Drosophila melanogaster: one gene and its partner. The protein of the gene in region 1 interacts with the protein of each later gene in a pairwise test. Each region holds a gene or a part of one and is shown on either strand. Other genes may lie near its edges.

The links. The genes of interacting proteins can lie anywhere in the genome.
Region 2: the proteins of esg (region 1) and Clamp interact in a two-hybrid assay, tested with the Drosophila melanogaster proteins (one large-scale study listed by BioGRID).

The regions. Positions count from the first base shown.
Region 1 is NT_033779.5:15,331,079-15,338,815, reverse strand, and holds esg (escargot), read right to left. Parts: upstream 4,951-7,737; 5' UTR 4,723-4,950; coding exon 3,310-4,722; 3' UTR 2,678-3,309; downstream 1-2,677. UniProt on the Drosophila melanogaster protein: Transcription factor that can both stimulate and repress transcription. Binds to the consensus DNA sequence 5'-A/GCAGGTG-3'.
Region 2 is NT_033779.5:22,164,160-22,173,157, forward strand, and holds Clamp (Chromatin-linked adaptor for MSL proteins), read right to left. Parts: upstream 4,985-8,998; 5' UTR 4,729-4,984; intron 4,485-4,728; 5' UTR 4,377-4,484; coding exon 4,221-4,376; intron 4,162-4,220; coding exon 3,961-4,161; intron 3,908-3,960; coding exon 3,478-3,907; intron 3,418-3,477; coding exon 3,144-3,417; intron 3,095-3,143; coding exon 2,891-3,094; intron 2,829-2,890; coding exon 2,393-2,828; 3' UTR 1,561-2,392; downstream 1-1,560. UniProt on the Drosophila melanogaster protein: Transcription factor involved in X-chromosome dosage compensation in males, the process by which transcription of the single X chromosome in the male is elevated. Binds to the DNA sequence (GA)n.

The sequences.
Region 1 (7,737 bases):
CGTTTTTATCAGTGACACCAAGTGGAGGGATATCACGTGGTGAGGGGGTGGGGATTGGGAGCTGTGGGGTTATGGTTGCCCAAAAGGTGGAGGAGCAGACAGACAGCTGCAGTTGCGAAAAACGTCAGGAGAGTGATATTTGTTTATTGTTAACGAATTGAAGTAAGCGATGGAAATAGCTAAAAAAAAAAACAGGGTACATCAACTTTAGGATACTATGCACTTTTAAAGTGGAATTAAGCTGGAATTGGTTTATATTTAATTGAAGTCTTAAATAACTTATACGCTTATACTTATCAACGATTTAATATACCATAAAATTCTAGGTAACACAACTTTTGAAAACACTAATTCTATGTGTGCCATATTCCTATAGTACATAATCCAGCTATAAAATTACGAGATAAATACCTATGTAATTCCCAAAATTCCCCGAAAAAGGTAACAAAATCTTGAAAACTTACCAAAATCCTTCGAACGCAGTTCATTGAACCCAACCAGATTCATCTATCGGAAATTTTCCCACAAACAAACCGAAGGCACAATATTCATTTGCCATAAATAAGTCACCAAAAGCCAGGGTCCCCAAAATCAGTCAAATTGTCGACGGCCTAACCCAAAGATCTTCATCATAGTAACCCCAACTGGACCCGCTACCCACAGTCGAATAGCTAGTAAAAAAAAACAAAAACAAAAAAGCAGCCCAAAATGCAGCGATCAAGCGCGAAATTTGGCACAAATAAAATAAAATAATCAGAAATAAAAACCCAATGGGCTGCTTTTTTATATATCTATATATATTTTTCATTTTTGGGTAGGGAGAGGGTCAAGCGAGGCAGTTAGCCTGCCGTTTTGTTGCTGTCCATGTTTTGGGCCATTTTTTATTTCATTTTTCTATTTTTTATTCGCTCTCGATCTTTGTTATCGAAAGCCAGACGAAGCCAGGCGAAGGCACACAAAAGGCCCTAAATGCGCGTCTATTTTGTTACAATTTAAGACGCTTATTAGAAATCGTTTGCAAATTGTTTAGCCAGCTAGCTGGCACGAACGATCGTCGTTTTGGGAGCAGAGCTCCGATCGACGAGCTGCGCTTTTTGGGGCTTACTCTGGTGCTGAGGGCGCTGGAGAGACCGGCAACTTGGACCCTGTGGATCTGCAGGCTGGGTAACCCGAGACTGAAGCAAGCCGCCGTGGAGGAAGTGGAGCCACGAAATGCGTGCATATTAATTTTCGTATATTTACGTTGGCCCGATCCATCCGATTGGGCTTGGATCCCTCTATGCACTGAAAAAAGCTAAACTTACATTTCCACAATGTTTGAAAAATGTAGTAATAAAGTTTAAAACAGATCTGCCTTCCATTAACTATGTCTATTTAGGTAAGTTCGAATGGCTTTGCATTAATGATGAAGAGATTAGCAAGTTAAAAATGTATTTATTCCTACCCTTTTCGCTCAGTGTAGCCACGTGAAACTTGACTAAGACTTGTTGCTGCCGTTGCCGTTTGGGTTTTGCTGCTTTTCTAGCTGCCTGATGATCTAATTTGGCAACAATTGTCGTGGTCGTCGATCGCTGATGCCGATGATCGCGGATCGACTGGATCGGCGGATCCCCATCCCCAAACCCATGCCAATCCCGATCCCGATCCCCACACACATGTGTGCGCTATTTGTGGGCCTCTGGAGCAGGCTCTCCTCCGCCTGGCGATCGATTGATCTCGATAATGAGTTTCGTTTCGTTTCGTTTCATTTCGTTTGGCTTCAGAGGACGCACCCATAATTTCGTATGCTCTGTCACCCGAACGATACCTTACCGTACGATTATGATTTCCCTGCGCTTTTCCGCTTGGCTGGATACTGGTAGGCATCGATCACACTTGATGATCTCCGGGCCAAGACACTATTTTCACTGCTCTCTCATTAAGATCGCGTCTCATGTCTAATACGACTTTTTGGCCGGGGCGCGGGTCTACTGAGGCTTGAAGTTTGATTTAGTGACTGCCATTTTGTGCTCGCGTCGTACGTGCACCGAAATTTAAATACATACATATACATATGTAATTTATGATCAGTCTGCCAAAGAAAATGCGCCTTACGTTTGCTTCACTGGGCGGGCCATAAAATGTCGCGAATGGCTGGATTGGGTCGGCTCTTATTTTCCGATCCACTCAATTCGATTTGTTTATTTGTTCGAAGAAGAAGAACATGACCCAATAAAACCAAATATGTGGCGAACTCTGGAAGAGACCACTCACGATCATTCTAGATTCCATTGAACCTTCTGCCGGAAATAGGAATTGACTTTTAATTGAATGTGGACAATAGAAAATGTGGTCTAAGCATTCAACAGATAAATATTTAAAGGTTGTATATATGTACATTTAAATATGTCAAATATTACATTAGCTGACCAGAAATGTTATAAAGATTTAACCACTGAAGTTGATATGAAAATACCATGCTTAAATATGATTAAATTAACAATGTTTTGGCATATAGGAGTATCAAATTAAGACTGTTTCAAATATATGTATGGTATTGTTAACATAATTACCGTATATAGAAAAATAAAAGATTTTTTCTAAGTTTGTGTAGAACGACTTGCATATTATCCTGAAATAAAAAGGTCCCAAAGCCCACCCATTAATGAAATAAAAACGTTTTCAATGTTTTTTTTTTGTATGTAAATAAAATGTATTTCCTTCTTTCTTCGCTTGATGCAATAAATTACTTAGAATTACAAAACATTTTCGTATCAAAATATATGTATGTGTTGTTTGCTTATCTTCACTTAAGCTACAGTAGAACATTTTCAATGTGTACGCGAAAAAGTAGTGGTCATATCAAAAATAGTTTACGGTTTTTACAGCTAGGCTAAAAATACTATCGTATAAAATATAGAGATGTATGTCTTGCTTACGATTGATTGTCTGGCGTTTCATTTGTTCAGCTTAGAGTCTACAGTTAGACATAATACATTATGTACAGGATAAATCGAAGAATACTTTACAAAGTTCATCTTTAGGATATATTATGGGCACACATTTTAAAATGGTTCAAACTATTCAAATTGGTGGTGGTGGTTACAAAAATGTTGCCGGATTGTACAAATTAAAACGTAATTTTTAATTTTCTCTCTTCTGGGAGAAAATGCTGACTAGAAATTAAAAAACAAGTGAAATTCTGCTTGAAGTTGTGTGTCTGCACTGGGAGTTTCGGGAACTTGGAGCCGCCTAAGAGAGCTAGGAACTAATTTTTGGTGGAACATGGCTGGGATCTCAGCTATATAATGTATATATAAATATATTGCCTTACGGCTCGGCATAGCCGGCGTAGTTGAGTTCGCTGCTGCTGGAGGATCCTGCACTGCCGCCAGGACATCCGCCCTCTGAATGCTTGGTTAGGAGGGACATCCGCGAGAAGGTCTTCGAGCAACTGGTGCAGGAGTACTTCTTGATGTCCGAGTGGGTCTGCAGATGTGCTCGCAGATTCGAGCGATCTGCAAAGGCCCGGTGGCAATGCTGGCAACTGAAGGGCTTCTCTCCCGTATGAGTGCGAATGTGTCCTTGCAGCAGCCATGGTCGCGAGAAGGCCTTGCCGCACAGATTGCACTTGCAGGGCAACGTGTGGGTGCGAATGTGCATCTTGAGGGCACCCAACGAAACATAGGTCTTGTCACAATCCTTGCAGCTGAAGGACTTCTTCACCTGATTACCCTCGGCGGCCGGGCAATGGAACTGCTGATGTTTGGTCAGCCCGGAGAAGGTGGAGTAAGATTTCTGGCAATCCGGGCACTGGTAACGCGGCGGCTGGTTCTTGTCCTTCTTGGCGGAGGCATTCGGCATAGTTTCGGGCGACATATCCCCGGTTTTGGCTGCTGCTTGCTCTCCCGGCTGGCTAGTGTTTAGATTCAAGTTCAGGTTCTTGTGTTTCAGGGATAGATCCTCGGGCAGCGAGGAGCTGCAGCTGGATTCAGGCGTCATCGATCGCATGGAGTAGTAGGAATTCTCGGAATAAGCCGGCGAGATAGGCGCATGGTGATGATGGGTATGGGTATAGCCGCCCAAGCTCGGATAACCGGGCATCTGTGGATAGGGCAGGAAACGGTGCTGCCGCACGCCGATTGGTCTATGGATGATTTCAGATCTCATGGGCGGGGAAACGGAGCTTGCGCGACCATGAAGGTAATGATGTGGTGGCGGCGACAGGGAGCCCAGCGAGTCACTCGGCGAACTGGGCGCAATGAGATCGCCACGCAGCGGCAAAATCTGATGACCCTGCTGATTGATGGTCCTGTAGAACTCGGCGGTGTAGGGCGACATGTGGAAGTTGTTCCAGGGATATTTCGGGTATGTGGGCGTGGGCACAACCACGGAGGCGGCTGCAGCGGCGGCCACAGCTGCGGCAGCAGCTAAAGCCGCAGCCTGGGTCTGATTTGGGTCCGAGTCCACATCCACATCGACGTCCTCGTCCTCCTCCTCGATGTGTTCATCATCTGTATGATCTACATCCACACCCTCGTCCTCGCAACAATCGCTGACGTTGATCAGTTCCTCGGAGGGATTTTCCTCCAGAATTTCCATTTTCTTTACGCACAAATCCTGCGGCTCATTTGGGGTGTTACTGTGATTTTGAGGCGCCTCGAACTGGTAATTAACTGGGCGCTTTTTTAGCGGGCACTTGCTGTAGTTTTTCTCCACCAACATGTCTTCCACGGTATGCATTTTACTGGCTTTTTATTGATAGTTTACCGGAATTGTTGTAAAATGTTCTTAATTTTCGTCACTTTGTTTTCAGTGTGTCATGTTCACACAGGCACAAATACTCGATCGATGCACAAATACCAAACGCGTGTTCCGTTAAGCAAAGCGATTGAATATCGGTTATATTTCGGGTATATTGCGTTGGGAGAGATGGTTATGTGAATCGGTTAGAGTCTGGGAATAACTGAGCGAGTTTGGCGGTGGTGCGGCCTTTTTATACTGCCCCTGCACTCGGCACTCGGCTCATTACACGAAGCTGCCAAAAGAGAACGCTCTCTCGGGCGTTCCGCCGAGAGTATGCATGTTCATTCAGGTATATGCGTCGACCAATCGCGGCACTCGGCTAAACAGGTTTCGCCTTGTTTATGTAGAATTGCCTCACGTGCCGAACTCGTACACTTGCACCAATCGAAGCCGCAAACGAAGCGATGCCGTTATATTTGCTCTAGTGTGGGCCATATATTCAAATATGTTTACCTGTGTGCATCGTGCTCTCCGCAGCTGCTCTCTCTCGTCCTCTCTGCATTTGCATTCAATGCGCAATAAGGAGATCTATGATCTTACCTAGAAATTTAACTAGAAATTCGAAAAACCCCACTTTTGGAGGATTAGCGAACAAGGGTTTCCTTTTACCTCATTATCATTATCAGGTGCATCATTAGTTGACTTAATAACTGAAACGCAAAAAACATGGGCAGGTACCCAACATAAAATACTAACATTTTTAGGACACAGGGCGATGCATTAATGAGCAGGTAGACTTCTGCATCAATAAAATGTTTTTTGGCAGGAGAAAGGAGTGAACGTAGTAATTGTAGTCACTAAATTTGTTTATTAACAAGTATGTTATTGTACGGAATCAAAAGTAACCAATATTCAATCGATTTTGCGTAAAAAGTTTTAGAAATATTGTATTCCCCGTTTATAAGTAAACAATATTAAATATATTAACATCTTTCATTATGGATCCTTAGGAATATTTATAATAAATTAATAGCTTTACTACTTCGGCGTACTAATATGATTATTCTGTAATTCATCATTAGATAATGATATAGAATTTTTTTCTGCGGGCATGTTCCGGTAATCGAATTGGCGAGAATTTTACGACTTGGATTTGATTCGATTTTGTCCAAATACCCAGAAAAAATTTTAAAAAAATAGGAAAATTTCTCAGAAATACAATACGGTAAATATACAACTAGAACGTTTAGAAAGAGCCAAGCTAAAATTCAGTACGAAAAAGAGCATAAGCATTCTCTTTAAGCCAATTGCTTCTCTTCACTCTCACTGTTTCGATTCCACTTTGTTTCTGTTTCGCTCTCGAAATTTTCTCTTCGATTTGAAAAACGTTTGAGGCGCCAAAGCCACTAAAGGCTGAATTGTACCTTTTTGACAAAACGGAGAGAGATATTTAGTTTCTGTTTTTTTTTTTATTGGGTAACACTAGGCTATATCTTTACGATACCAAAAATTGTGGGCGTGGTCCGCCCCTTATATTTAATTTTGTTACCAAAATAAATACATATCTTTTAAGTAAAAAGACATTTTTGGGATCAATTTTTGATTTGTACTCTTAATAGGCCTTCTTCTTGCAAAGTTAAGCAAACTTTGGTTAAGCAAACTTTGTAAAGGCACCTCTGCTTTCGTGCCAGACACTAAAGAATTATTTAATCGGCAATCTTTCTTTTTATTTGCAGCACGAGGAAAAAATGTTTATTTTTTGTTAACTCCCTAATATATTGTTCTTTGTTACATTTTGATCTAAAATAAGGGAAATGCACGTCGTTGGCAGACATTTTCTCCGCGACATGCTGATTTATTAATGAAATTTTGGCTTTCTCAGGGGATTTCTCGATTAATAATTTAATATTCCCTGCCGTCGATTATGTTAACCGTGCGGGATTTTTTTTTTTTTTAAATTTCTGGTACGCAACACTAAAGTCTAATCTTATAATAACATAATGACGTAATCAAAACTTAATATTACGGACTTTTTTGGCCACAAAAAGGTACCTTTCAGCCTATAGTCCATAGAAGCGATTTCAAAATACACATATTTATGCGTTCTTGAGATTTGCGGGAGGGAAAGGATCCATGTAGTAAACAACTGGTAAACAATTAAGGAGCACGTCGAGATCCTCAAGTGGAAACCAGCACACACATGCACGCTCGACACGAAGTGGCAGATGTGTGGCAACAACACCCAAACAAACAAACAGCGAAAGTGTTCACCCGACAGATAAGATAGTAGGTGTGGCCCCCTCCTACCGACCGATGTCCAATGGCAGGACATAAATCAAAGGGAAGCAAACCACGCCAATTTCTGATCACTTACCTGGAATCACCGCAATACTGAAAACAAATTCATTTATTAAGGAAGAAAGTTATTTGTAATAGTTTTGCATAGAAATTAAATACGTTAAATGAAATACTAATTGTTAAACAACTAACATAAAAACTATAAGCATGCATGAAATTTCAGCATGTCAGTATAATGCTATACAGTTTACAACATATTTTTTTCAGTGTAGAAACCACACACAGTTGGCATTTAACTTAATTAGCGTTCTTATCAAGCATTTGTCCCTGTGGCAGGGCGACTGCTGTGCCTGTGAGGACTCCGATCCAGATGCAGATCACTCCGTTGCACAGTAATTCCCAGGAAGCAGACTATCCGGGCGCAAGTGCGATTCCACTGAGATTGCCAAACGAGGAACCCAAAAACCGCCAGCATAAATTAATAGATAAACATGTGCAATTCTACAGGACAGGTTCGAGTTTGGCGGCCAGTGATGACCATCTGGATTATTTTTCTTCCAGTCGATTACCTTTAATCAATACATATTAATAAATAAATACATATTAATATTTCTCAAAAATATTTATTTTAAAATATAATAATTAGAATTTTGACATTTAATTATATTGCTTCCAAAAATACCTTTTAATAAAATAAGAATAAAATATAAATTT
Region 2 (8,998 bases), 6.8 Mb from region 1:
GTCTGCCTTTTTAACCGGTTTTTCATTTTTATTTGGCAACCATTTTGCTAATGAATGGGTTTTCACGAAAGCACGCTTATGCGAGTTTGACAAAAAAAAGTGTTACCCAAAGCATTAAGTCGACAGACAGGCTTAAGAAAATTACCTAAATTATTTGTAATAAAAGTATTTATGTTATGAAGCCCAAATTATTTATGCCGAGAAGTCATCATTTATGTAGGTAACTGTTGAAATTGCTTTTTTGTTATTGTTTTTAATCGCATAAAAACCGCCATTCTGGACAGGAGATTTCGGTTACATACTGCAATACATTAAGTAGCACTCGAATGGTTTGGTTAACTTGATTATTGTCCAATATTGCATAACAGCAGGATAGGGCTTAGGCCAGGACTTTTAATTCTTCTGAATTTAGTGGGTGAGTGGAGTGGGAAGCTGTAACACACTTGCAAAGGACGGTTGGCATGGTAGGCAGTCGAAAAATGAAATTGTTGTTTAACTAAAAACTAAATACTAAATAGCCAAGATCGGTTCACCAAAATGACAAATATAAGCCAATAGCATAGTCATTTAAATGAAAATGTTACTATAAAATCGTATAATTACTTACTTGTTTAATGGCGTGCCTGCACCATAAAATTTAAGCTTGAGGAACGAGTTAATCTAAAATATTTATGTTTTCAAGAAAAAAAATTTAAAAAAGAAAATACGGAAATTTAACAGTGAAAAGTATATATATTGTTTTGTGTGACTTTCAATTTAGCTTAAAAATGAGTTTGAAATGCTTTGTTATATTTTGAACATATATATAACATCTATTTTAGATGTTGCTTATATTGTTTATCCACAGCTTTAAAATAATTTGATATCAAATTGGAAAAATAATTGGCACGAATAAAAGGACTCTACCAAGCGGCAAAGACCATGGTCAAATTTAATTGGCCGGATAAATATGGATTGTGGTACGCATCCTTTCCGTAACTTTGTAACGATTTAGTTTTTAAGCTGTAGCAGAAATATTAAATAAAAAGTGGACCAACCACAGACACAGATCTTCCTATATAATCATGATTGCATAGTGCATGCAAACCAGTTGACATTAAAAGAAACAAAACTACAATCCCGTGTAACTAAAATGTATTCATTCTTGAATAATCCTATATACATATGAATATAAGTTTGTAATGACCGCAAATTCAAAAATGGACCCTAAGCAAAGTCCATGTTCGCAAATGTATACGTATACGTATTTATCTTGATTTAACTGATGGCGAATTCTAGTAATTTAAAGCTTTATTATACAAGCCATGAATCCTAATTCTTAAACACTTGGTTTTGATTATTGTAAAAAATTCGTTGCCACTTCACAACTTTACTTTAAATATGTAAAAATATTTTATTTTTAACAGATAATACGCAAAAATATAAATATAAGAAGTTTAAAAGAGTGCGTCCATTTTACAAATCAACAGCTCTAATTTTTTTGAAAAGACAGCAGTAATTCACATCATCTAATTTTCGATAAATTTTAACTTTATTTTACTCTTTTACGTCTATGAATATTTAAAGTTTTGTGTATTTATTAATTATATTATTGCCAACATTAAAATTTACTGACCTTATAGCTTCACGTAAGAATAAGATGAACGTGGCAAAACACTAAAAAAATTATATTTAAAGTGAAATGGTGCTTACATTAATAAAAAAAAAACGCATAAGACGTCGAAAACGGTGGAAAATGTGCCTATTTCTGGGATCCCTCTATTCTTCGTTAAGGCACTTGCAAATGGAGTAGGTTAGTAAAAAATTGTATTTTATTCAAATATTTATTTGATTTTATGCATTATTTAATACATACTTATATTAGATAGATTTAATTAAAATATATTTAAGCTTACAACTTTCAACTTATATGTGTGTGTTTATTACCTGTGCATATTCATACGTATCGGATTTGCTCGTATCGTCACCTAATAAATCCATATTTTACACCTACAATTTGTATAAGAGAATAGCCTATAACACTTATAAATACGATGCCTATACATATATGCGTTTAATGTTTAAAGATGTTTAAGTATATTATACAAGCTATCAAATAAATTAGGTTCATTTGTATGCTTATCGTAAAAAGCGTTTTTGGGTTTCGCCCATTTTTGAAGATCCCACATGAAAGTGGAGAAAGGACATATGCAGCTGAAGTGTTAACGATGGAACATCGTTTTCTATTCTTTAATATCATTGTGGTGATATATGCGCCCTTAGAGATGGTTCTGGGGCTAGCATAGGTGGAGGCAGATGATCATAGTAACGCTCGATAAACTGAAGCTAAGCAGGGTGGACTCCAGTGTCTGTGACTTCATTAAGCTGCCTGTCACCTCTGCATTTAAACTATCTATAACCCACCGATAATCACTTCCTGTTGGGCCTCATCCTCCATGTCAGGAATCTCCTGCTTATGCACTATCATCCCATCGCTGCTGGTCTGGCGAGGAGCAGTTTGGCCGTACTTTTGGTGTATGCCGCGGTGACGCTTGAGTGCAAAACGATCAGCGAATGCTGCAGAGCAAATCTCGCACTTGTAGGGTTTTTCTCCGGAGTGCACCTTTGCGTGGTTCTTAAGGTGCGCCGCCTGAGAAAAGGCCGATCCACAAATTTCACACTTGTATGGCTTTTCGCCCGTGTGAATGCGCCTATGATTCCAAAGAGTAGCGTGGCGCGCAAATCCTTTGTCGCAAACACCGCACACATAGGGCCGCTCGCCACTGTGCGTGCGTTCATGGTTCTTGAGGTGTGGTGACTGTGAAAACTGCATGCCGCAGGTTTGGCATCTATGTAAAGATAACGGTAATTAGTATAAAGAGTATAATTTCAAGTAGAAGATTGGTATTACTTATAGGGTTTCTCGCCTGTATGAATGCGCGCGTGGTTTTTCAAATATACGGCTTTAGCAAAGGCCAATCCACAGATGCTGCACTTGTAGTTTTTTTCACCGCTGTGCAGCTTTTTATGGGACCACAGACTTGAGTAACGTGAAAACAGACCACCACATATATTACAACTGAAGGGTTTGGACGGATTTCTGCAGGACAAACACCTTGGTTTTGTTAGCGTAGGATAAGGTTGCAATTTCATGTTATACTCACTCAGTTTTAACAGTAACTGATTGCTTTACCGATCCGCCCACCCCGCTGTGTGAAGCATGGGAGTGCTGCCCCACTAGCACCACGCCGGAGCCATTGCATTTCTGGCATTTGGTCATCTGCTGGGAATTTCGTTTTTTCACAGGATGATGGCCAGACCCACTGCTCGCCTCTCGCTTTGGCGTTGTACCGCCAGTCTGTGCAGCCACAATTTGCTGAAGTTGTGCTTGGGCCTGAGGAGTCGTTGATATGATTTGCACGGGATGCGCCATTTGACCTGCAAAAGATGCGATGAAGTTAGTTATGGTCCATTTAGAATGTAATCTTTCACAACTACCGTCTTGGGCGACGAAGAGCTGCTGTTGTTGTTGCGCTGTTTGTTCAGCCTGCATGCAGGACTCGCAGCGCACCTGCTTTGGACCTTTGCGTTTGGACTGCTGCAGCATAGAGCTTCCACAATTTATGCACTTGCTTGCCTTTGACTCATGTTGCTGCTGCTGCATTACAGATTGCTGAACCGGCTCCAGCGTGTCAGAAGACACAATCTGTATCTGGCCCATCTGACCATTTCCAATAATGTTCTGTGCCTGCACAAGCCCCTGCGCGCTGACCACGGCAATAGAATCGCCGCCCGCTTGGGCGTTATGTTGCTGTTGTTGCTGCTGTTCCCCGTCTGTATGCATCCGCTTATGAGCATTAAGAAGTGCCAAATGAGGGAACATATCTGAACATACGTCACACTTAAAGCTTATGTTGGATATGGTGTTCTGCAAAGAAGAAAATCTTTAGGCTTTGCTTAACGAGTCTTCCTTTTACATACAGCTGCAATTGGCTTATTTTGATTGACAATCTGGATGCGGCCTTGTGCGTCTACCGTGGCGATGCCAAGAGCTGCACCCTGATTGAGAGGCATTCCGTTGACCAGGGCGTAATTGTATCCGCCCACGGGCTGGGCTATATAACACGTCTTATTGTCGTCTGTGGTGGCCAGCTGTGCGAGATTGACGGTACCGCCATTGCCCTATGTGAAGACAATATGAAAAGTCAGCACCAATAACATATAGTAAGTAAACTACTTACATTTGTCGTGTAATAGAAGGTAGGCTGCTGCTCCGTTTTTTGGCCCTCTATTTTGGGCTGTTTAAGAATGGTGCCATCCGCCGTCTGGTATTGAATTGTGGCCGGTTGCCCATTAATGGCATTTGTGAAGATAATGTTTTTGGTAAGGTCTTCCATGGTCCCCAAAATTCGAGTATGCTCAAAAATTAACTTTTATCATACGTTGGCCTTTTATTTACTGCAGCTCTGTCGCGCTTTTCAACACTGCATCACGCGACGCTAATTCTATAAAAGAGAAAAAGAGATGAATATAGTGCCATAGGAACCCAGCGAAAACGACTGATTAAAAATGGCGACGGTGAGACAAAAAATATGTACATACGCGACACAAAACATACACAGACGAACGTTTAATGCAGCAGCTCTTTACATTAACAGACTCTAGTATCTAAACTGGAGTCTAGCACATTTGTTTTTTTATCATACAATATTACACTACATGTGTTATTTTTTTCATTATTAAAATTACCTTTTACGCAACCGGACCACACCATAAATTGCGCACTGCCTGCTCCACAATAAAATTGTTAAGATTTGAGTGGTGTAAAATTGTATTCGTGAATTGATAACGTATTTTAACGATATATTGTTTGGAATAATACAAGATATATATTTAAATAGTGTTATCTTTTTCTAACAAATTCCAGCACTTTAACTTTCAGTCCATCATTTTTTACGATTGCTAAAGAGAGATGGAGACAGAACAACGCTCAGAGATAGAGCAGACGAGCAGCAGTTTTACTTTTTAAAAGTGTGACCGTTTCACGACTCATGAAAATAATCATTTCCCTCGAAAATATACCAAAATTCACAAAGAACTGGTAGGATTTCTTAGAGCCCTTTTACACTAATTCGATAACTCAGAAAACATAAATATTTTTATATACGTTTTGTACTTCGTAATTTGGATTACATCACATGTTGTCTTACATGTTGTCTCTTACTCAAAAGGCAAACGCTACGATCAGTAGAATCTGGCTGTTACTAGCTTTCGAAAAGAAATATCTTGTGCTGAGCTGCGTTAAAAACACGTTTTAAATTTATTGAGACTTAACTTTTAATATTCTACAAGCTAAGGTAACACTGTAAGAGCAAAGACACTAGAATATTCTAGTGTCTTTGGTAAGATCATGGGCCATGGTTGATAACAAATTCCATAAGATAACGAAATTTTACAGGCACTCGACTTTTAACTAATTCTTAAAGATTCCATATAAAACGTACTTATTTTTGTATACTTAAATCTTTTAGGAATTCCTATTTATCTTTATCACTCGATGTAGGGGAGTGAGTTAAGGGACAACAGATTTTTTATGCCCCACGTAGTGACGCAAGTTATCCAACCCATAAATATAGCACTCTACCAAAAGCTAAACAAATTTCTAACTCCAATCTCAGCAGCGTTGCCTTTGCCCTTGTTTTTGACGCCAACACTTAGCCACCCGATATATAACCAAACTTAAAGTAAACACAACTTCCACTTGGAGACCAAGCCATGGTCAACTTATTGCGCTTCAGTCAAACTGCGTCAGTCAGCAAATTTGAATTTCACAATGCTGGGAAATAATTTCAGTGTAAAGCTTTTATCCTAAACATATTAAAAAGCTTAAGAGAATCCTAAAGAAAAGCTTCTGGCCGAGGTTGAGTGGATTAGGATTAAGATTTAGAAGATCAGTCTGAGTCGGGACGAGATCGTGAACAGCTTCAAATCAAAGATAAGCTAGTAATAAAGTGTCTTGTAATAGTATAAGTGAGGAAGTCTGTCGCCGAATAAATATTAATTAATAAAAAATAAAAACTATTCTTTTAAATAATTAAATAGCAGCAATTTTAATTCGCATACGTTTTGGTTTTGAGCTTAAGATCCTGGATGAACAAAGTTCTGCGAGTCCTGTTTGGTGTTGGAAAATTTCAGCTTCCAAAAGATTTAAATACTCTCGGCGCCCAAATTCAAAAATTTATTAGTGTTGGCAAGGCAACCAACGTGGTCAAATGTTTTTTATGACAACAGCATTTAAGGGAATGTCTTGAGATAGTAAGCTTATTTATTAGCTATTTTTGAGGAATGAAAAGACAAGTTTTATGGTAGTGATTTCGAACGATTATGTGTATGGTTTTGGAAAAAATTATGTCAGAAGGAACGGAAGGAAGCGTTTCGGGCATTATAACGTGCTTATATTCTTGTCTTCGGCTACCAATCCTTCTGTTCGTATACTTTTGAAAAGTTCTTTATCTTAAAAAATTAAGTTGTTTTTCTTGATAATTTGTATTGATATGCTTGAACTATTTCGCCACGACCAATTCAACACCCAAAACTTTTTGTTTTCATTGTTTATATTTTGCATTCCTTCTGGCTGTGTAAACGGTATCTCAATGTCCAACAAATTTGCTTAAGCGTTCTCTCTTATTTAAAAATAATTTGGTGGTAATAGAACTTAAATGAAATATATGTATATCTGTTTAGCTGCTTGTGATGTAAAAGAAATTAGAAATTAATTATGTGTTTACATTAAGATATATATCTTTCCCGCTTTTATTCTGTGTTCAAACCGCATGTGTTTTATATCGGCTTAATATACATATGTATGTCGGAGATTGAGTAGATCTAACGCAGTATTTGAATGTAACCGAAATTATGTTTTTGAACCGTTATGTTAAGAATGAGTTAAGAGTAATGAAATTCATGGAAATCGTTCCGTTATTGAGTAAAAATCCTTTGTGTATGTATTCAAATGAGCATGGCGCCAGTTGTTGTTTTGGTAGAGTTTCGTGGAAACGAAGTGAGGATGAAATAATTCAGTGAAGTTGAGGAATAGAAGAAAATCATCGAGGGCAACAACACACGTGTTAGACTTAAATGGCTCCAAGTGTAAAGTTATGACCTTTTGTCGTGCCAACCCAATACGCACGACTTAAACTCCTTAAACCTCCTTGGTTTAATAAAGAGTTGACACACCTAAGAATTGTAAAGTCCAGACTCTATATAAAATTTAAAAATACCGGTTCTCAGTCCACCCTCTGTAAATATTTAAGCGCTAGGTTAAGCTTTACCGGGCTTAATGATCAGTGCTACAATAATTATTTAAACCGTTGTAAGTTCCAGTTTGCACAGGATCCGAAACAGTTTTATAATTTCGTTAGCACTAAGCGAAAAACAAGTTCTTACCCTTCCTCGTTATTTTTAGAAAACACTACGGTTACATCGGATCAGGCAATAGCCCTATTCGCCAAGTTTTTTCAAACAACATATTCAACTTTACCTCATTCCGAACAGCCATACTCTTATGCGGTATCTAAGTCGAATCTAATATTTTGCCCCATTATAAACGAAAGCTCACTGCTTAACGATCTTCAGCGTGTTAAACCGGTCTATTCGCCAGGTCCTGATGGAATCCCTGCCTGTGTGCTCAGATTCTGTGCGGAAGCCTTGTGCAAACCTCTACTGAAACTGTTTACCTTATCTCCGGAATCTTCACAGTTCCCTCATATATGGAAGGAGTCCTTTATGATTCCTCTGCATAAAAAAGGTAGCAAACTGGATGCAAGCAATTACTGAGGAATCTCTAAATTGTCGGCTATCCCAAAACTTTTTGAAAATGTTATCACTCCTCATTTGAAGCACCTTTGTAGATCAATCATATCACCGTGTCAACACGGTTTTATGAAACGCAGATCAATAACCACTAACCTCTTGGAGCTAACTTCTTTCGTAATACAAGGTTTCAAAACTAATCTTTAAACAGATGTCATCTACACTGATTTTAGTAAAGCATTTGACTCTTTTAATCATTATCTTCTAATAAGAAAACCTGATCTTATAGGTTTCCCCGTTGATCTTCTAAATTGGATTTCAAGCTATCTGAATGGCAGGACACAACAAGTCCTCTTTAAAAATTCTTTATCTTCTATTCTCCGAGTCTACTACTTTTCCGAGACTACTTTTAATTAATTTATCGTCCCTAGCTAACCGTAGAACTATGCTTGGAACAGTCTTTATTTGTAAGCTTATTCGTGTTGATGTTGAGAGTCCCGACTTGATTAGTCGGCTTTACTTCTCTGTTCCAAGTAGATTCACTAGAAACTATTTACCCCTTATCTTAAATCATTGTAGATCTAACTATGAGTTGCATGACCCTTACAGAGTTTTATGTTCTGACTACAATAGACTTTATCCTATTATCTGTAATCTTGACTCTCTGCCGCTCTTAAAGCAATCGATTTTAACTTTTCTATTACATAATTAGATCCTACTAACACTAATATTTAATATAGTTATTTTACAATTTATTCATTTCCTCGTTCCTGTTCTCTTTTTTATATCGCGTCTATATCTTCTCGCGAATCGAGCTGTACGGCAGCGCCCCTCGGTCGGTTGGGCGGGAGGTGTGGCCGTGGGACCCGTGCGAAACAAAAAAAACACACAGGCTACGTGCTGTGCTGGACAATATGGACACTGAAGTGAATGAAAAATCGCACTCGGCTTCTCCGACATGCATAAATATGTATGTATGGAGTCCATACTATAGACGCCCTTTTTCCTCTTCACTATTCTCGTTGTCTGCGCAACGTTTTCTGGCGCGTAAGCGAGGCATGTCTGTTCTGCATCTCTTCACAAAATCGGAATTATGCATAGTTCCTAACTCTACACGCATCACCAACACATTTTGGAGACCCACTCCAGTCGACATACATCAATACTAATGCACACCGCATTTTTCTGTACTCTTTCGTTATTCCTG